4 linked regions of the Caenorhabditis elegans genome follow. The protein of the gene in region 1 interacts with the protein of each later gene in a pairwise test. Each region holds a gene or a part of one and is shown in the gene's direction. Other genes may lie near its edges. The genes, in order: pal-1, pfd-2, gip-1 and aap-1.

Region 1 (6,453 bases):
ATGGATAAGATGATGGCACTTGTCCATTCTCTCGTGGAACGTGTCGATAGGAGCCACGCTTCGTCATATGATGTGGTTGGTCAAAAGAATCCATCGTCCAGCTCCCTCAAACCAGCGAAAAGAGTCAAGTCTGCCGTTGTTCGTCAATCCAATTTAGCCAAGCGGACCGGAGCACCTGTTGATGCTGCAAAGGAGTTGAAAAAGATTCGAGATGAGGAAAACAGAAACCATGGACGATCTGCTGAAAGGTAATTCTAGTTGTGTTTTTTTTTTCAATTTAAATGAGAGTTTCAGAGATAATGTGTTCATCGGTGCAGTGCTGGTGGGGAAAGGATCTCAGTACGATAAGGTAAGCCTGAAAATTATAAAAAATTAGTTGAAGTTGTTTTTCAGGATCTTGAAAAATTCAAGAGCTTCCGATGCAGGACCTGCAATGAAGTTTCCCAGACGAAGGAGCAGCTCGTGGATCACTTTTCAAACAACCACGCCGGCGAACTTGGGGCGAGAAGGTCACTGCGAATAAAGCAGACCTCGTGTTAAATTTCTTTTTTAATTTATATTCGTTTTTGTTTTAAAATTTAAGCTTTTTTGATACAAATAAATTTTATAGTAAATAAATCTTGTTTCTCCTACCAGCTATCTAACTATTCCCAACAGTGGGTGGCAATAAATACGAGACGCGGCTCTTCTCACGGCGGTATCATAGATGCACAAAGAGCAAAACGATTACGCAACAGACAGCCGGGTCATATTCAGGTCAAACTTGATAGTGCATGAAATCGAGTAGTAAGCGACTCTTTGATATTTTCAGATGCTCCATTTGTTGTTCTTCATGACAGCTGCAGAGTTCCCAGATCGTAAATGTTTAATGTTCTGAAAGAAGGTACATAATCAGTCAAAGGGCGGTCTCATTGTTGCCTTTTATATCAAATCTTTGGAGGACAAATTGTCGATTTCAGCAACATTTTTTGTTAAGAATCTCCAACTTTTAGAATAACTATTTAATAGATCACTCGTTTCTGATAAGAGAAATAATTCTCTGCTACCGTAATCTTTGCTCCACATGAACCTGTCAGTCATAAATGCTCATTCGTATCGTACTCAATTAAACTTTCATCGCTCATTTATTTCCTAATGAACATCGTAATGGAACCTCAATTCCAGATGGGCTCAATGGCCGGTAGACTTACTATTATTTGGGCGAGTAGATCAAATATGAGGTGAGTGATCTATTTTTCAAATTATTTTAAAGGCGGGATCTCATTGAAATTAAATTTAGTGGCTAAAATTCTTCTTTTCTTAATTTTTGGCTAGATGATTTTTTCTAATCTTTTTCAAAATTTTATAATTTTTAAAATATTTATTTAAATAAAAAGATATTTAACAGCAAGTTAACTATTGAACAATAAATTAAATAAAAATCTTCGTAAATCGACAAGTGGAAAGTGCGCTCTATTGAGCTGATCAGTCAGTAAAAATTTTTCAGTGTTAATTTTTTTCTGTTCTTCATTTCTGTTGAGTTTTAACGTTTCTTTTATATTTGTCTTGCTAATTTCAATGCTAAAAATCAATTCTAAAAACGCATATTTTATTAAAGTAAGAAAATCCATCTTCGAATACAGTCTCGGACAGTTTCCTGCACAGACCAATAATTTATTTCCCAACGAACTGGGCGTTTTTGTTTCCTTGCCGACCTGTCTCATTGTAAAAGTGATATGTTTGTCTGAAAATCGACGTGTGGCTATAAATCATTCACAATTCCCTCTCCCGTTCATATCTGATAAATCCCGCCTTCCCAAGTGCTCAATGAGCCGCAGGAGGCGGTGCCGGGTTGCCAGCTCGTTATTTTATTGCTATTCTCATCAAATCTCGAAAATCTTCCTTCAAATTTTGAATTTTTATTACTGTTCACTTTTCTCTATATAAACTGATAATTACTTCCTCGTTTTCAGAATGTCGGTCGATGTCAAGTCGGATTTTTCGGAAAACGAGTCCTCATCAACACCTTCACCAACAACAGTTCCAGCAGATGTCACGTGGCCTCACTATCCAATGATGCCATTCATGCAACCACATCCTCTGAGGCTAGATCTTCGAAATTTTTATTTGGAATCTCAAAATCAACGAAAAATTAAATATTTCCTGTTGGTGTTTCATTACGACCAAGTGAACAAAATTAAATACCATAAATATTTAATAATCCAGCACACACACATGGTTGTAAATCCATGCCCTTTCTCTTATTTATCTCCTTCAAAATATTTGCTAACCATGTATTTATTCTCAAATATTGTCGCCTTTTTGATGATAGAATTTGTTTGAAAGGTTATATGCAAATTTTCGATCTATCCGGAGGGTACGGTAACGCCCCGCCTCCACAGTGTATTGGAAGACATTGCTCCGCCCATTTCCACCGTTGGAATGAAGCGGGAGGGTGTCTAAGAGGTAATAGGCGTGTGTGTGTGTATCAATTGACAAGAACATTTGATTAAGGAGGTGCTATATTTTGAAGTTTTTCTTGTTTTTTTTTTTCATTTTATACTTAATTTTCTTTTTTCAGAGAAAAGATGCTGCAACCAACATTTGATCCACAAATCTATGGAAGGTGGTCACAAATGGGTGATACTGGTTTTTACGTACGTTTTGAATGAATTTCCTTAAGGTTTTTTATTTAAAAATTGAATTTCCAGGGACATCCGGATCTCTATCCATTCGGCCTTCCACAACTCGCTGCCAACGGACAAATTCCAGCAGTAGAAGCCGTTGATGTGAAGCCACCGCTTTCGAATGGAAGTAGCAGTAGTGATAGTGGAATGTATCCATCACCGAGTGATATGATGACACCGTTCCCATCAACATCATCTGGAGCTGCATCTTCTTCAGAGCTTTCAGCAGCTGCTGCTGCTGCAGCCAACTACCAGATGAGAGCTGCCACGTGTTATCAGCAATCTGTTTGGCCGTTTATGGATTATCAACAGGTAATCATATAAAATTGTATTTTAATACCTTTGTTGGCTTTTATAACACCAAAAAACATAATTTCCTAGCGAGACTTTTCAAAAACTGTTCACATTTTTTATGACTCTAAATTGTTGGTACAGTTTTTATTGAATTTTATTTTTTATTGCATATTTTAGGTACGGCTACTCGCGTTTATTCATTGATTTAAGCAGTCTACTTCCAAAAATTACAAAAATTCAGTGCCTATCGGCTTAGAACGCGCCTAAATCAACGAATTAACACGAGATAAATTACCAAAATATGCAATGAAAAATGAAAACTTACTAAAAACTGTATTTCAGCTACTAGACAAGGATAAGTTGATAAAATTTTAGATTTCAGCATTTTTGGCTCTTTTCGATATTTTAAGCTGCCATAAAATTAGGAAATTCTGTCGTTTGTGGTAACTTGTCTAATAAATATCTCTAATAATGTCTAATAAGTCTAATAAAGCAGCCAATTTTTGATCTGTTAGTTCTCCTCCAAGTGAGCTTGTTTTAAAGATAATTTAAGTTTCAGGGATTCTCGTGGAAAATGCCTCTTGGAAACAATCATGGAAAGGATCGAAGATCAAGCAGTGATGGGAAAACATTACCAACGGGACCTGGAACGAATAGTAAGTTTTCAAAAGAGTCTCCCCGTGTGCAAACAATCTCTCTTCAAGTGAAAAAGAAGCCGCTATCAGTCATATTTATCAGTAACTAGGACAAATGAATTGAGTATTTATGATTCCTTTCCCATCAATTTCCCATTTTATTACGAGGGAGTTTGTAATTAAACTTATTTTCAGATGTCCGTGTACGAACAGCTGACAAATACCGTATGGTTTACTCGGATTATCAACGCCTTGAACTGGAAAAAGAATTCCATACATCGCCATTCATAACATCAGATCGCAAGTCCCAATTGTCGACGATGTTAAGCTTGACAGAACGACAAATCAAGATTTGGTTTCAAAATAGGTAGATTCTTTTTTAAACTCACTGCCTAAAATGGGATGATTGATTACTACAAATTTGAAGACACCAAAATAATATCAAGTTTTCTTGATTTGGCACAGAGATGAAAGGCGGTAAAGGTGATGCGGTGTATGAGTTACGGTGCTTACGCAATTCGACCCGTGTGGCAGGTAGCAGGAGAGTCTTTAGCCGTGAAAGAGTGTTAGAGTGACCTCAATTTATATGATGAGAGGTGGCAAATTGGGATTGTTATGGTGTGAGATGTCATATTAATAGATCTGAAAGTTTAATTTGGTTTATTGGAATCATGAGATTAGACTTCAAATATTGACACATATTTCACAACGTCATTTAATTAACAGATGATGTTGCCCTCTGCAAATCTCATTTGAATTCATTCATTCCGCGCCCTTTCGAGCCAAATACGTTGTTTGCTGTTTGCTGTTTGCTTACTCTTTCTCAGGCTTTTCCAGGGGACTCATCACAATGACTGTCACCTCCTACTGTAACCATAGGAAAAAGTACCACCACACTTTCGTTCTTTAAGATTCAGTTCAGTCCACGCGCGCAGTAGAGATAGTTCCAAGGAATTAAAGAGTCGTAAAGTTGTGTAATTGGAGGCCACAGTGTTTGAGACGTGCTGGTGGAGGTGAGGAAGAGATGAAGTTTGTTAATTGGTCCGTTTACGACTTTCTAATTGGTATTACTGTAGAAGAGAGGTGGTCACTGCTTGCATGTGTGGCTATCTACGCGTTCGGGGATTTGGAAATTAACAAGGGAATAGGATATCTAGTGCGAATTTCCAAGTTATTGGGATAAAACACTTCCCGTAAAGTGCTACTGTTAATCTCCTTCACTCGCATGTTAAAGGGAGAGTATCGTTTGTAGGTTTGCAAAAAAATATACTCAAAATGCCCCAAATTTCAAGTTTTTGCCTTTATTTAATTAGGTGAGGTTCTAGCTCAATGAAAGAGTCTACAGAAATGATAAAGCAAGGGTTTCTGACCAGCTCGCAGAGATATACCAATTATCTGCTCAACAGTCGTTTTTTTTGTTGTCTGTTGCCTTGTTTGACAATATTAGTGCGCATCGAAAGATTTACGAGGGGAATAGAAACGTCGTCGGCAGAGATTCCCAGAGTGCTGTAAAATGGAAATCAATGTGTGTGTCCCTTTCCTGTAGCGTCCCAATCCAAACAGACATACATACTGTGTTGGACAGACGTGACCGCCGTTTTCCTGGGAAGAGGTAACATACGGACGAACCATACCGGTCATTGTATTCATTAAAAGAAAGGGAATATAAACCAAAAGATTGATGTTCCCTATCCCTTTTCTTTGAAAAGCGTATTTTTTTTGAATTCACCACTGGGACGGCATCTTTTTGATCTCAATATATTCTGATAAATTGTTAATTTCCGTAATAATACTGTAATATTTTTAATTGCAGGCGTGCAAAGGATCGTCGTGACAAACAGAAGATTCGGCTATAAGTACTCATCTACTTACAAAGAAAATGTACAAAAATTCTGGGAATTTTCATATTTTTCTAGAATATTGTACACATTTATTATATTTTTACATTTCTCTCGCTTGAATACGGTTAAATTCACACTTTTATATAATTTCTTCCTGTCCCATCTCCCATTCTCTCACATCAGAATATTCTAATCATCACTGCCCTTAACATATATATATATATATTTATAACTTTCCGATCATTCCTTCTGCTTTGTAAACTAATCCAATCATTCTCTAATGAATTATTCCCTAATATAGAGCTTCTTTATTTATTGTGATTTCTTGTTTCTTACCCTTCTCAAGGTTTAGGAAAAAGTTTAGGTCCCCATTTGTTATGTATTTACTTCCCACTCTGAACGGATCCATTTTGAACATGTTTTCTATTTTTTGGAAAAGTTTAGAGAATTCTTTGCTTTTCTCACATATCTTGATTGCATATTTTTTATAACAAAACAATGAAACAATTTTGAAGAATTTACAGCAGAAATTGATGAGATTAACTATCCAGTTTTTTGAAATGTATTAAATCGACGGCAATATCCACGGCCTTTTGTTTATGGAATTTGTAAGTCGCTGGTAGTTGCCACCGCATTTCTGCACAACATTCTGCCTGAAACTCAATATTTTTTTTTCTAATTTTAGAATAATTTAAAAACAAACCCCAACTCCGTCCCATTTCTTTGCATTTTTTAGAATATAATCTCTAGTTGATGATTTATGAAGTGAAAATACACTTCCACCAGGCCGAACCATTTGAAGACCGATTTGGACAAATTGCATATCGATTCCTGAGAAATTTAAGATATTGTAACGTTTTAGGAGATCGTTGGATATTTACCTGCATTATTTTTTGTTCCAAATGGAGGATTAATGACAGCCACGTCGAATGTGCCACGTGGAAGATCGGATTCCGGGTCGAGAATGTCGGCTTGTAGAAGCTCGCATCTGGAAGAATTGAAAGTTTTTAATTTTTT
Region 2 (3,870 bases), on another chromosome or scaffold:
TTCATGAAATTTCCAAATTTTTTTTTCGGCAAGTTGGCGAAAAATTCAGATTTAGCCGGATTTCGCTATTTTTTCCAAAAAAAAAAAACGAAAAAATCAGTTTTTTATGAAAGAACATAGGAAAAATATAATTTTTTTCCTGAAAAAGTTCGAAAAATTTTAAGCCATTTTTCGAAAAATCGAAGTTTTTTTCGGAAAGTAGGGGAAAAAATCGATTTTTCAGAAAATATCCTAAAATTTTGGTCATTTTCAAATTTTTAAAATACTTTCTCTAATTTATTCTTCAAAAATTTAAATTTTATGGTTACTATTTCCTGAAAAAAAATTAAAAACCCTCCATTTTTCATTGCAAAACTGCTTTTTTCCCACATTTTCGAGCTCCATTCCCACCAATTTACCCCATATTTTCAGCTATATCGCACCCGACATTGCCACAAAACTTCCAAATCTCAAAACTCTTGCACTGACCAACAACAACATTTGCGAGCTCGGAGACATTGAGCCACTGGCAGAATGCAAGAAGCTCGAGTACGTGACATTTATCGGAAATCCGATAACTCACAAGGACAATTATCGGATGTATATGATCTACAAGCTGCCGACGGTTCGAGTGATTGACTTCAATCGAGTCAGACTGACAGAACGTGAAGCTGCGAAGAAGATGTTCAAAGGAAAAAGTGGAAAGAAGGCGAGAGATGCGATTCAGAAGAGTGTTCATACAGAAGATCCATCAGAAATTGAACCAAATGAGAATAGTTCGGGTGGAGGTGCTCGGCTTACTGATGAAGATCGGGAGAAGATCAAGGAAGCGATCAAGAATGCCAAGTCACTCAGTGAAGTCAACTATCTTCAGTCGATTCTGGCATCGGGAAAGGTTCCGGAAAAGGGATGGAATCGTCAGATGGATCAGAATGGTGCCGATGGGGAAGCGATGGAGTCTTGAAAAATCTTGAAAATTGCAGAATGTGCTGCTAAAATTTATTTATTTATTTTATTTGATTTTTTTAATGTTAAAATGATACTCCTTGTTTTATTTATATTCTCATTTTTTTCCAATTTTTTCCCAGTCTGTCTTCCCTTTTTTTGTAATTTTTATATACCATAAAACAATATTTCCCCTATTATTTTTGATATTTTTATCGATTTTTCAAAGGTTCCCCGTGCCTTTTTATATTTGATTTTTTGAAATTTTTGCAACAAAAAGTTAGAAAAAAATCCTTTTTCAGCCATTTTTGTGTTTTCCGGCTATTTTTTATTATTTTATTAATTTTGAGAGGTTCCCACTGGGAACTTCCCAGCGCCTTCAAATATCTATTTGGAAAAAAAAGGTTTAAAAATTGGAAAAAACGCGGATTTTTTTTTGAATTCTCGCCTAAAATAATCCATTTTTTGTGTTTTTTTGTCATTTTTCCGCAAAAAAAAAACTTCAAAACCCTTAAAAAAATGCGTTAAAACTCTAAAATTACCCTAAAAATCGATAATTTTAGACTTTTTTTTTCACAAAAACTATCGATTTTTGGCTAATTTTAGAGTTTTCAACTTTTTTTGCTGAAAAATGACTGAAAATGTGACAATGAAAAACCGATAAAAAAAGCCGGAAAATACAAAAATGTAGAAAATCGGTGAGAAATTCAAAAATAAATCGGCTTTCACTAGTTTTTTTGCAAAATATTTTGAAAAATCTTTTTTTTTCAATTATAAAAATTTTTTTTGGTCAGTTTTGGCAAAAAAAACCAAAAAAAAACTGGCTCTCTACCATTAAAACAATTATTTTCAAAAAATCCACAACTTCCAGATGTCGGCCGCTCAAACCGCCGCCGCCACTCCAGCCGAGCAAGAAGAGCAACGAAAAGTCGTCGAAAAGTTCAAGGCTCTACGTGATCAACAACAGGATATCGCCGCCGAAGTGACTCGAATCGAAGAGGAACGACGTGAATTTGGACGTGTTCTCGAAGTGATCAAGGATCTTGAACCGGATCAGAAATGCTTCCGTTTGATTAGTGATACACTTGTCGAGTATACTGTCAAGGATGTTATTCCGGATTTGCAGAATAATATCGCTAATGTGAGGATTTGAAAGTCGGGAAAAATAGAAGAAAAGGCGGAGGAAACAGTCATGTGTCGATTTACGGAGTTTGTGTACTCCTCGTGGAGAAGATTTTACAGATTCCGGCTGAAATACCTGATTTTCGACCTTTTTTCTATATTTAACGCGTTTTAAATTGGGGATTTACAGTATTTCCGATGAAAATTGACAGTTTTTTGAAGCAAAAAAAAATATTTTTTCATCTGAAACACTGAATTTTCCGATTTGTTGCACCAAAAATACGGTATCTGGAAGCTATGCGCCTTCAAGGAGTACTGTAATTTGAAATTTGTGGAATTTATATTGATTTTCCGTAGTTTTTCGATAAAACACTTCAATTTTAACAAATCGAATGAAAAAATATAAACAAATCGATGGAAACTTTGCAAATTCGGGTACTCTTTAAAGGTGCGCAGCGTCATGTATTCGAAACAAATGTCGTGTCGAGATCAGACATCGTAGTTTTAGCGCAAAATTTCGCGTTTTTACACCTAAAAATTGAAAAAAAAAACCAGATTTTCCGTTTTTTTTATAGCGAAACCCCCAATTTGCGCTGGGAAATACTGTAAAAATACGATTTTAATATGGTTAAATACAAAAAATTGAAAAAAAAAACAGACTTCTCCTCGTGGAGTACACGAGCTGCGTAAATCGACACAAGACCATGATTTCACAGCCATTTTGCCATTTTTAATGCGAAAATTCATTGAAAATCAGTGTCAAAACATGGAAAATTAACGGTTTAATCTTAAAATAACAGTAATTTCAACGAAAATATTTGAGAAAACGGTCAAAAATGGTCTGAAAGTTGAATTTTGTTCAACTTTCAGGCAATTTTTGAGCTCTATCTTGGATATTTCGATTGAAAATAGTGTAATTTAAAGAGAAATCGAGTGATTTTCTATATTTTGTCACAAATTTTCAGCAGAAAAACATGGTGCAACTGACCAGAATTACCGAAAATAATAAAATTTTGCAGTTGACAATCGTCTCGAAGCAGCTCAACGATCAGCTCGTCGAAAAGGGAAAAGAGCTGAACACTCACAAAACTACACACAACATTCGTCTGCTCACTGAGAAAGAATCTGCCGAGCTGAGAAAAGCTGAAGCTCTTGGACAATTGCCAAAAGCTTAAATTTCCCCTGCTTTAATTTTTTTCTCGATTTCCTACTGCTTTTTCATGTTTTCATACGTTTTTTCTTACTCTGTTTGTTGCCTTTTTTCTATATGCTCCCGTTAAAAGAACTTAAGTCTTGCATAAATTGAATTTGAATTTTTTTTCGATTTTTAACTGCTTTATTATGGTTTTTGAAATCCAATTTTATCTTTTTTTTTTTGAAAAAAAAAACATTTTTTGGTTTAATAAGTTTTTTTTCCAAATTTCGATATTTTCCCCGTTATTCAACAAAATTCATCGATTTTTTCATCGTTTTCACATTTTCAGAATTTTTTTTCGAAAAAAACTGAAAAAGTAGCCTAAAACCGATAATTTAACATTCAATCATATTTTTTGCGAAAAAAATTGAAAAAAAAACTATTTTTCAAGTTTGTCATTTTTTGATTGATTACTAACTTAAAAAATGGTTTTTTTTTTCAAATTTTTTCCCATAAAAAGTATAATTTAATGTTAAACTATCGATTTTTAGGGTACTTTTACAGTTTTTTGAGAAAAAATGTCTGGAAAAATGGGAAACCATGTTTCAAATTATAAAAAACTGCAAAAAGTGAAGAAAAATCAATAAATTTAGTCAAAAAACTCAACAAAAAAAGTTTTAAAAATTCGA
Region 3 (4,951 bases), 2.5 Mb from region 1:
GAAAAAAAATGCCTCGAAATATAAATTTTTAATTTTTAATCTGAAAATTCCCGTGAAAAATGGGAAAATTTTCGAATTTTTCATGTTTTTTCGACTAAAAAGTCGAAAATTTTGTGAAATTTCTCGAAAAAATTGAAGTTTTCTCAATTTTCCAGCTTTTCCCCCTCAAAATGCTCCAATTTTCAGGATATTTTCATATATATTTTTTTTTTTTTTTTTTTTTTTTTTAAATTGTGAAAAACGTTGAAAAGTTCACTTTGGAAAAAGAAAAATATGGAAAAATTCAAATTTTCCACTAAAAATTGACATTATTTGCGGAAATTACCAGCTTTTCGGCGTAAAAAACGCTAAATTTGTCAGTTTTCCGCAAAAAATGCTCGAAAATCCAAAATTTTGTGAAATTTCTCTCAAAAAACGCGTGAAAAACGCTATTCAAAAAAGTGCAATTTTCAGCTTTTTTTTACTAATTTTTTCTTTAAAAAATTCAAATTTTTGACTGGATTTCTTCAAATTCTCCATTAAAAACGGGTTTTTACTCAGAAAAGAGGGGAAAAACCAGGAAAATTGAAAAATTTTCATATTTTTCGACTGAAAAATGCAAAATTTTGTGAAATTTCTCTCAAAAAACGAGTGAAAAACGGCAAAATTTACAAATTTTTCTAAAAAAAAATCGGAAAAACGCGAAATTTTCATGTTTTTTTTCGGCTAAAAATTAAAATTTCCATTTTTTTTTTTGCAGGGTCGGTGTGTGATTTGTGGTGGCGCTGGCGTCAGTGATGCATATTATTGCAAAGAATGCACAATTCTCGAAAAGGATCGTGACGGATGCCCGAAAATTGTGAATTTGGGAAGTGCGAAGACGGATTTGTTCTACGAACGAAAGAAATTCGGATCGAAAAAGTCGTAGAAATTGGCTTTTTGGCGGCGAAAATGAGCGAAAAATCACAAAATTTCGCCGAATTTTCACCTATATCACCTCTAATTTATCAAAAATGTTCCAATTTTCTGTTAATTTCCACTTTTTTCCGCTGAAAATTCCTATTTTTCTTGAAATCTGACTGAAATTTGGCTAAAAATGAGCTGGAAATATCGAAATTTGGCTGAAATCGTAAAATTCCCTTTTTGTTCCCTGAAAATTGAGCAAAAATGTCAAAATTTTGGCATTTTTGACCAAATTTTGCCTATTTTTGTGAAAATTTGCCTTTTTTTTTCGTTGTTTTTATCGAAATTTTGCTGAAATCGCGATTTTTTCCACTATTTTTCCCTAAAACATCCCTTTTTTACTGGAAATTTGGGCAACATTTTGGCATTTTTGCCTATTTTTGTGAAAATGTTACCATTTTATTGAAAAATTAGCTTAAAATGACAATATTTTCCTAAAAATTTCGAATTTCCGTGAAAAATAGCCAAAATGTCACTTATTTCAGTTAAAAATATGCCATTTCCCTGAAATTTGGCTGAAAATTCGCCTATTTTCACTTAAAATTCCGCAAAAAGCCCTTTTTTTCACTCAAAATGTTCAATTTTTCCCTGAAATTTGCCTGAAAAATCGATATTTTCACTCATTTTCACCTTAAAAATTGTCTTTTTCCCCCATTTTTTCCAATTTTCCTCTACCCTTTTATCAATTTTCGAATAAATTATCGATTTTTCTGTAATTTTTCCCTTTTTTTGCTGTGTTGTGCTGGTTTTGTTACCTATTTGTGTATATTTATCTCTATTTTTTACGGGAATTTTCAGTTTTCCCCGAATTTTTCTGAATTAAAATCACTAAAAATCGATTTTTCTTCCTGAAAATTGGGTAATTTTGCGAGAAATTTAATTTTTGTTTAAAAAAAAACTAAAATCTGAATATTTTTTGGAGAAAATTAACCAAAAACTTGAAATTTTATGAAAAAAAAATGGAAAAATTTCAGATAAATGCGTCGACAAGGCAGCGAAGAAGTTGAAGCTGTACAGCAATTTTTAAATGCTTTCGGGTTTCATGATAGAGGTAATTGGATTGAATTTTAGAAGAAAAAACACCGAAAAAGCCGAAAAATTGACTGAAAAATCGAATTTCTGACGAAAAAATGAGATTTTCCATAAAATATCAATAATTTCAAGTAAATATTCGAATTTCGAGGGGTACGGTAGCACCAAAAGTACGCAAACACTGTGGTACACCAAATCTTACGACATTTTGCAGAAAAACTCCTGAAATTATAATAAGAGTTCAGATTTTTTTCATCAAAAGAATATATTGGTGGCCGAACTCCTTGGATTTTTTTAGGCCACGATTTTCTGAGCCAAAAATTTTATTTTGAATTTTTCGTTCAAATCTCGTTTTTTACTAGAGAAACTCCAATTTCGGCTTTTTTTCTCTTGGTTGCCTAACTTTTTTTTTAGATTTCTAGGCCACCCATTAAAAATAGACCGTTTTATTTGATTTTCTACATAAAAACGGGGATTTTGAATTTTGAATAATTCAAATTTTAAAACCAAAATTTTAATTTTAAGTCTTTTTTTTTTTTGAGATATTTGAAATTTTCTAGACGGTTTTTTGGTGATGAATCGGTTTTTATTAGAATTTCAACTATAAAAACCGAATTCTAGTCAGTTTTTGGATTTAAAATCAATTGGTGGCCGAACTTGTTGGATTTCTAGGCTACCAAACTTCTGAACATTTTCCCCTGTGACTCTTGTGCCTCTATTCGTATTGATTGCAGTAAAAACGGGTATTTATTCACATTTTTAGCCTTAAATTGGCTTAAAATGTGAATAAATACCGTATTTCTGCAAACAATTTGACAATAGAGCACATTTGTCACTTGGAGATGCGGAAGCTATGCCCAAATTTTCATTTTCAAGCCGAAAAACTTGTGAATTTTCGCGATTTTTGCACAAAAAAAACCATTTTCAGCCGATTTTTCCGTAGAAAAACGGATTTTTAATCAAAATTTTGCAATTTTCTGTATTTCAGATGTGATAAAAGTTCAAGAAGGGCTATTCCACAGCCGTCAGCTCAACGATGTGAACGCTTCGAGAACATGTGTAGATCAATTTGTTAAGAAATGTATGAAATTCCAGGGAAAAAACCAAAAAAAAAAGCGGCAGTTTTCCAGGCGAACTTCGTGATCCGAACGGAATAAAACCGCTTCGCAAAAAAATCGATGCTCTGATGAACGAATCGGTAGAAATGAATTATATGATGGATTTTCTTGTGAGATGTCGACAGGCTCACTTATTTCATAATGAAACAATAAGAAATAGTCCGAGTATTGGTCTGGGATCCATTGGAGGTACCCCGACCAATTCGATTCCATCCTCATCGCCGTTTCAAAGAAGATCTGCAAGTCGTGGACGGGTGCTCAGCACGCTGAGTTCGGTGTTTTACCGGTTTTAGCCGCGAAAAATTGTGAAAAAACGGAGCAAATATCACTGAAAAGTCGATAATTTATTTGAAAATTGACATTTATTTTCATTAAAAATTCGAAAAATTAGACATTTTCGGTCAAATTTGACCTGAATTTTATAAAAATATTTTTTTTCTCCTTAAAAGTTGAAGATTGTGCTTATTTTTGTTCGATTTTCGAGAAAAAATGCTGAAATAAAACCTACAAAAATGTGGAAAATTGAAAAAAAAAAGTTTTTTTTTTCATTAATTTTCAATAGAAAAAAAAACGAAATTTTTGCCATGATTAAGTGGCCGAACTTTTTGGATTTCTAGGCCACCAGTCGGAAAACTCGGATTTTTAGAAATTTTTTATTAAATTTCTAATTCTCAAGCAACAATTATTGCGTTTTTTTTCATTAATTTTTTTTTAATTTTTGAGGCTTTTTTTTGGCGAAGAGTCGCTTTTTAATCGAATTTTGAATATAAAAACTGAATTCTATGTGGTTTTTGGATTTAAAATCATTCGGTGGCCGAACTCTTTGGATTTCTAGGCCACAAAATTTTTGAACTATTTTCCCCTGTGACTTATGTGCCTCTACTCGTTTTTTTTTGTTTGCACTAAAAACTGTATTTATTCACATTTTCATCCTCAAATTGGGCTGAAAATGTGAATAAATACCGTATTTCTGCCAACAATTTGACAATAGAGCACATTTGTCACTCGGAGATGCGGAAGCTATGCCCAAATTTTCATTTTTCACCCGATTTTTAGCATATTTTTGGGGTTTTGATGGATTTTAAGTGTTGAAATCGGTTTCAGCTAAGAAATTTTCGGTGACCGATCTTTATGGAATTCTAGGCCACCAAGCTGATTTTGAGCCAAAAAGCTATGCTCAAATTTTTATTTTCGCAATAAGATTTGCAATTTTCCATAGAATCATTCCACAAAAATCAAATTTTGAGCAAATCCCCAAACACTGTGGCCTAACTTTTTGCAAGTTTTTAGGCCACCCATTAGAACTTTGGCGTTTTTTCTCGAATTTTCTACAAATTTCTATGTAAAAATGTATTGAAATTGAGAAAAACTACAAATTCAAGCCTATTTTCGCTTTAAAAATCATGAAAAATCATTTTTTTTTAATTGGAAATTCACAGAAAATTGGCGAATTTTTCCATAAAACTAGTGAATTTTCCAGCCGGAGACCAACAAACTCCATCAATTGCCGATTCATCGTCTCGTTCTCGTGCCAATTCCTCATTTACTGCCTATGACAATCGAATGCTTGGAATGGAACGCCAATTGGCTGGAAATATGGCTCAACGGCCACGGAGTCCGTATACAATTAATGGAATACCAACTACGAGGGTTCAGCCGATTAGCGCCAGCAATCAGCTTTTTACGTGCGTAATTTTCGAGAAAATTTGAGGAAATTTGGTTGAAAATACCGAATTCACCGCTAATTTTCACCCCTAGCACACTTTTTCCGGGTTACTGTAGCTTTAAAAGTACGCCAACACCAGATCTAACGACATTTTTCAGAAAATCGCGAAAAAATGAGTTTTTGTGATTAAAAA
Region 4 (4,767 bases), on another chromosome or scaffold:
GATTCCTTCCGATGAGAGAATGCCGAGGCAAGTTCCAGCATGGCTGATAGCCTCCATAGCATATTCGACTTGATACAGTCTTCCCTCCGGAGAGAAGATGGTCGTTCTACTATCGTAACGACGGGCCATTCTCTGAAAATATAAAGATAATCTAGACAAATATGATTTTAAAATATAAACGGCAGAAACCTATAGAAAAATTACATAAAACAAGAAGAATCTCTCAGTCCTCGACAAAAAGGATGACTTGAAAATTTTTTCGCGCATGAGCGCATTTGCATTTTTGTATTTCTCGGCCGTGGCCGAACTTATTTGTTTTCAAGTTGTCAACGTTTATTTTTATTTTTTTATCTAATTTTGTCAAAACATCAATGAAATGGCGTATATTTCTGAAAATGAGCTGAAATTTCTACGACTTCTCGAGCGAACAAAGCGCTTGACAAAAGAGGATATGTCAGCAAACGTTTGGAAAGCAAGTATCACATTTTAAGTTCTGTTTAATTAATTATTTTTCTTATTTCAGGTTTCTGCAGCTACAAAGATTCTCAATAAAATGATTTATACACTTCAAAACGATGAGTGAGTTTTTCAAAATACATTTTTTAATATTTATAGTTTTACTTTTCCAGAACCACAAATGATATTCTCCACGAGTACCGACAGGAAGTCTTGCAACTGAAATTACTCGCTGAAGCTGAAAGCAAGGTTTGTAGATATTTTAGACAAGCAAATTCGATCTTGTAATTTTGCTTTAAAGATACAAATTTTTACATAATTTCTAAACTTAATTTGAATTTGTTTGATTTGTTTCAATTAAAAATTTAATCCTAAAATATTATGCAAATGTTCCGTAGATTTTATGTCCCTCTTTTCAATTTAGATTTAAGTAAAGAAAACAAGTTGAACAGCTTTAAATATTTTGTGAATTTCGCAACTGTTATGAAATTGTCAGTAAGTTTTCCAGTCGTCAGCCGAGGAGCGCCTGAAAGTGATTGAAAAAATTCCACGTGTATTTCCCGATGTCCAAGTAACTGTTGCAGACTCCAAGAATGGTTTTTGAATTATTCAATATTTCATTTTAATGTTTATATTGCAGATAACGAGGCGGAAAGTTACGATTTTGAAAAAGAATCCGCAGCTGGACTCCGAGCTACTCAACGATCCATCTATCGATCAGATCTTCGGAAGCAGTTGCTTTCATCTAATAAACATAGAGCACAAGACACATCTGGTAAAAATTAGTATCCAATGATTGTTCAAAATTCGTCAAATTTTATAGAAGATCAGGAATTCATGAAAAATGAGCTTGTCGAGGAGGAGCTAGCAAATAGTTTGGCCACTATGGCGAGATCATTCAAAACGATGATGTCGGCTGCTGGAGATGTGATTAAAGAAGATACAGAAAGAGCAATATTAATGGCGAAAGAAGTCGATGATAATAAAACAGCTCTCGGGGTAATTTCTTCACTATATAAACTTCAAATAATAGTCTTAAAATTTCCAGATTCAAAGTGAGCGAGTTGAGCGTCACGCCTACAAATGTGGTTATGACTGTTTCAAGGTCATGCTCATTGTTCTGATTTTTATGAGCTTCGTATCAATGGTTCTTATGATGAAAATTTTCAAAAAAGCGAGCACTTAATAGTCGGGACGAATTGCTAGTATTTATGGGTGTAAATATTTCAAATAAAATTATTTAATTATTTGCATTCTTCGAATTTTTTTTCTCGTTGATATTTCCATTGGTCTACAGACCATGTTATACATACTTTTTTTGTTGGTTTTTTTTGGTGTTTTCACAAATTTCAATGCTTTGCTTTTTGGTCTCGGCTTGGTCTTGTGCCAGATTTAGTCTACTTCGGCAAAAACACCACAGATTCTTCTCCTCCGTTAATTATATATATATATATATATATAAGGATTCAGAATGAGCACAACACCTGGAACTCCTCATGGAGTCACTCATAGTCTTATGGAACAAGGATGGTACTGGGCTGATGCTGATAGATCTGCAGTTTCGAAAGCACTTTCTGATCAACCTGATGGATCATTTATTGTGAGAAATGCTAGTACACCTGGAGATTATACACTTTCTGTGAAGTGGGTTTTTCAAAATTAGTATTCAATATTAATAGTCCTTTTTTCAGATTTGCCGCCCAAGTGAAACTTCTCCGAATCGTTGTTAAAGATGGAAAATGCGGATTCAATACAGATTCATTAACTCACGATTCTGTTGTCAGATTAATTGAATTTCATCGAAATATTTCTCTCAATATTTTCAATGATGCACTTGATGTTCGTCTTTTATATCCAGTTTCTGTTCGTCGTAACTCTCAAAATGGAAAACCATTTTTCAAGAAGGGGCAACTTCAGCAGCGTATGATTCTCAGTGCAAAAAATGATCATGGTAAATTATTTTATAACGCAAACGCTAAATTTAAAAATACTGTAATTTCAAACTTTAATTGCTGCGGAATTTCTCTTGTCGTTTCAAGACCTCGTACCATATTTTTATCGCGAAAGTGGCAAAATTTCGCGTCTGAGTGATTGAAAAAAATAAAAATTAGTAAATTTAATGCTTTTTTTAGATTGGAGAGAACGCTTGGAAATGGAAAATTTGAGAGCAGTACATTTGGCATTTGAGAGAGGAGCCAAGCTATATGATTCAGCTCATCAAGAAATGGAACGAGCTGAAAGTCTCTATCATGCTTTGAATCAATCAGTTCGGGACAATGAGATTAAACTTGGAAAACTGAATAATTTGTTAGAAGCTGAAACAGACGTCGTTACACAAATACAGGGATCGCAGACAACAAGTGAAATGCTCAAAGGAGCATTTGCAAATAATAAGACAGTAAGCGTTTTTTGAAGAAAAAAAACATCCAAAACCAAAAAAAAACAATTCTAAAGCAAAAAAAAGAAGTTCAATTTAAAATTGTTATTTAGCCAAAACTCAATATTTTCAAAGCTGGATTATTAATTTTTGCTCAATTTTTTTCTCGGTTTTTTAAAAATGATTTTAGAGCAAATCCTCAATTTTTAACCATTATAGTTTTGAATTTTATCTTTTTTATTTTGCAGTTTGTGGAAGAAAGTATTCGACGAATAAACACTGAACTGACGTCATCAAAGGATAAGAAAAAGACGCTCTCCGGAATTTTGGATGAAATCGCGATGAAAAGATCCAATTCAAAAACACGACTCTGCAAGCTTATGGAACTTCGTAGTGCAGTCTATGATAAAATGGAACCAGCACTTTGTTCGAGAATGGCTGCAATGCTTGATGCTGGAGCGGAAATGATAAACAGTGAGCCAACGAAAGTCACTCAACTTCTTGTCGATATGGAATTGAAGTGGACACCGGCACAATATTTGATGTGTGGAACTTCTAAGGAAAATGCTGCGAATGCTCTGATTCATGCTCGCTATCGGATCGCTCAACTTGACAAGGCTGTTGGATTGAAAAGAGAGCCACAAGATGGTATTTTCTTGATTCGAGGATCCTCTTCTCATGTTAGTTTATGATTTTATCAGAAGAATAACTTTTCATCCTCATTCACGCTAATTTTTGAATTGAATTGAATATTTTTCAGGGTGATAAGCTCGTATTGAGTGTACTTCACGGAGAACGTGTCTCACATTGTCTAATCGAACAAAACGAAGAAGGATGGGGATTCGAGCACAGCAATGTCTACCTGACAACTATAAGTGACTTCGTTCGCTATTACTCTCACTTCAGTCTTGAAACCCACGCGGATGCTATCAAAACTCCACTTCGTACGCCCGCATTTGACGCTGTCACAAGTGATACTTCAAAACCTCTTCGTAACGGACCCGGACAAGTTTTTACGGCTTTGCCAATATCCAGGAAATATATGGAGAAGGCTCTTCTCACTGATGATCCCACTAAGCCACCTGAATCACCGGAACCAAGACCGGATTCATGGGATTCTCCATCTCCGGATACTCCTTCATCATCTGATTCCCGATTGGTTCATCCAACTACTCTTCCTAAATCCATCCCGGAATAGTTATATATTTAAATCAATTACTTACATATACTCGGTTCAATTACATCCACTTGTCCCCCATCCGATCTGATAGTAAACCCACAGTTCTCTGATCACTTTCTTCTAAGTTACTTACGTTTTATTTGTGTCTTAAATGTATTTATTATCAGTATTTATATGAATTGTCAAATTGTACATTTATTGATATAAATTCAAATCCGTCGGCGGTTCATCCGCGTATTAAATCGCACAACATTCTCCTCCTGTTTAACAGTAATATGACCTTTCGTTTGGTTTTTCATCACATGTAACAGACTGAGAAGAAACGAGACTGTCACCAAAGCGCAGACAACCTGAAATTGATTTTCTTTCGCGCTCCACGGCAATTTGAAAACGCTCCGCCCCCAAACCATGGGTCTCGTTAGGTATTTGGAGGCGAATCCGTACATTCAAATGTTTTTATTTTCATTTTTGCTTATTTCGCCAAAGTGGCGGAATTAAGTCAAAAAGTTTGAATTTACGGTTTTGCCGACAAATATCTAACGAGACCCATGGTTTGGGGGCGGGCGTTGTCAATTGCCGTGGAGCGCGTTTTCACATTTTGCATAACATACCGTTGCCAGCCACCAGGCCGTATTATTCCATCGAATCGAACTGTACAACATGGTCAGTGTATTGATTGTGAACAAAAATGAGAATGATGAAATGAAGACGCTTTCCTGTAGAAAACTCGAAAAAAATAAATAATTCAATATAT

What was found.
Region 2: the proteins of pal-1 (region 1) and pfd-2 interact in a two-hybrid assay, tested with the Caenorhabditis elegans proteins (one large-scale study listed by BioGRID).
Region 3: the proteins of pal-1 (region 1) and gip-1 interact in a two-hybrid assay, tested with the Caenorhabditis elegans proteins (one large-scale study listed by BioGRID).
Region 4: the proteins of pal-1 (region 1) and aap-1 interact in a two-hybrid assay, tested with the Caenorhabditis elegans proteins (one large-scale study listed by BioGRID).

The regions. Positions count from the first base shown.
Region 1 is NC_003281.10:4,804,209-4,810,661, reverse strand, and holds pal-1 (Homeobox protein pal-1), read left to right. Parts: upstream 1-1,952; 5' UTR 1,953-1,953; coding exon 1,954-2,084; intron 2,085-2,560; coding exon 2,561-2,636; intron 2,637-2,690; coding exon 2,691-2,978; intron 2,979-3,302; exon of another isoform or gene 3,303-3,451; intron 3,452-3,513; coding exon 3,514-3,616; intron 3,617-3,790; coding exon 3,791-3,962; intron 3,963-5,408; coding exon 5,409-5,451; 3' UTR 5,452-5,953; downstream 5,954-6,453. Other genes in the region: C38D4.7 (C2H2-type domain-containing protein), read left to right, coding at 1-248, 295-349, 394-540; rRNA N(6)-adenosine-methyltransferase metl-5, read right to left, coding at 5,976-6,089, 6,140-6,267, 6,318-6,424. UniProt on the Caenorhabditis elegans protein: Transcriptional activator. Interacts with promoter regions for tbx-8.9, tbx-9, elt-1, hnd-1, scrt-1, and vab-7 genes. Binds the sequence ATTTATGAC. Binds to the enhancer region of the hlh-1 gene promoter during embryonic body wall muscle development.
Region 2 is NC_003280.10:4,324,925-4,328,794, forward strand, and holds pfd-2 (Prefoldin subunit 2), read left to right. Parts: upstream 1-1,795; coding exon 1,796-2,065; intron 2,066-3,065; coding exon 3,066-3,221; 3' UTR 3,222-3,360; downstream 3,361-3,870. Other genes in the region: mog-2 (putative U2 small nuclear ribonucleoprotein A'), read left to right, coding at 412-943. UniProt on the Caenorhabditis elegans protein: Binds specifically to cytosolic chaperonin (c-CPN) and transfers target proteins to it. Binds to nascent polypeptide chain and promotes folding in an environment in which there are many competing pathways for nonnative proteins.
Region 3 is NC_003281.10:2,345,675-2,350,625, forward strand, and holds the start of gip-1 (Gamma tubulin complex component protein N-terminal domain-containing protein), read left to right. Parts: upstream 1-1,916; 5' UTR 1,917-1,920; coding exon 1,921-1,993; intron 1,994-2,962; coding exon 2,963-3,055; intron 3,056-3,104; coding exon 3,105-3,362; intron 3,363-4,572; coding exon 4,573-4,777; intron 4,778-4,951. Other genes in the region: phf-5 (PHD finger-like domain-containing protein 5A), read left to right, coding at 740-907.
Region 4 is NC_003279.8:5,105,917-5,110,683, forward strand, and holds aap-1 (SH2 domain-containing protein), read left to right. Parts: upstream 1-1,926; 5' UTR 1,927-1,927; coding exon 1,928-2,100; intron 2,101-2,147; coding exon 2,148-2,407; intron 2,408-2,588; coding exon 2,589-2,854; intron 2,855-3,081; coding exon 3,082-3,513; intron 3,514-3,593; coding exon 3,594-4,031; 3' UTR 4,032-4,222; downstream 4,223-4,767. Other genes in the region: pas-3 (Proteasome subunit alpha type-4), read right to left, coding at 1-129; use-1 (Vesicle transport protein USE1), read left to right, coding at 377-472, 524-579, 630-705, 965-1,052, 1,097-1,231, 1,280-1,455, 1,505-1,642; Y110A7A.21 (MARVEL domain-containing protein), read right to left, coding at 4,223-4,363, 4,625-4,729.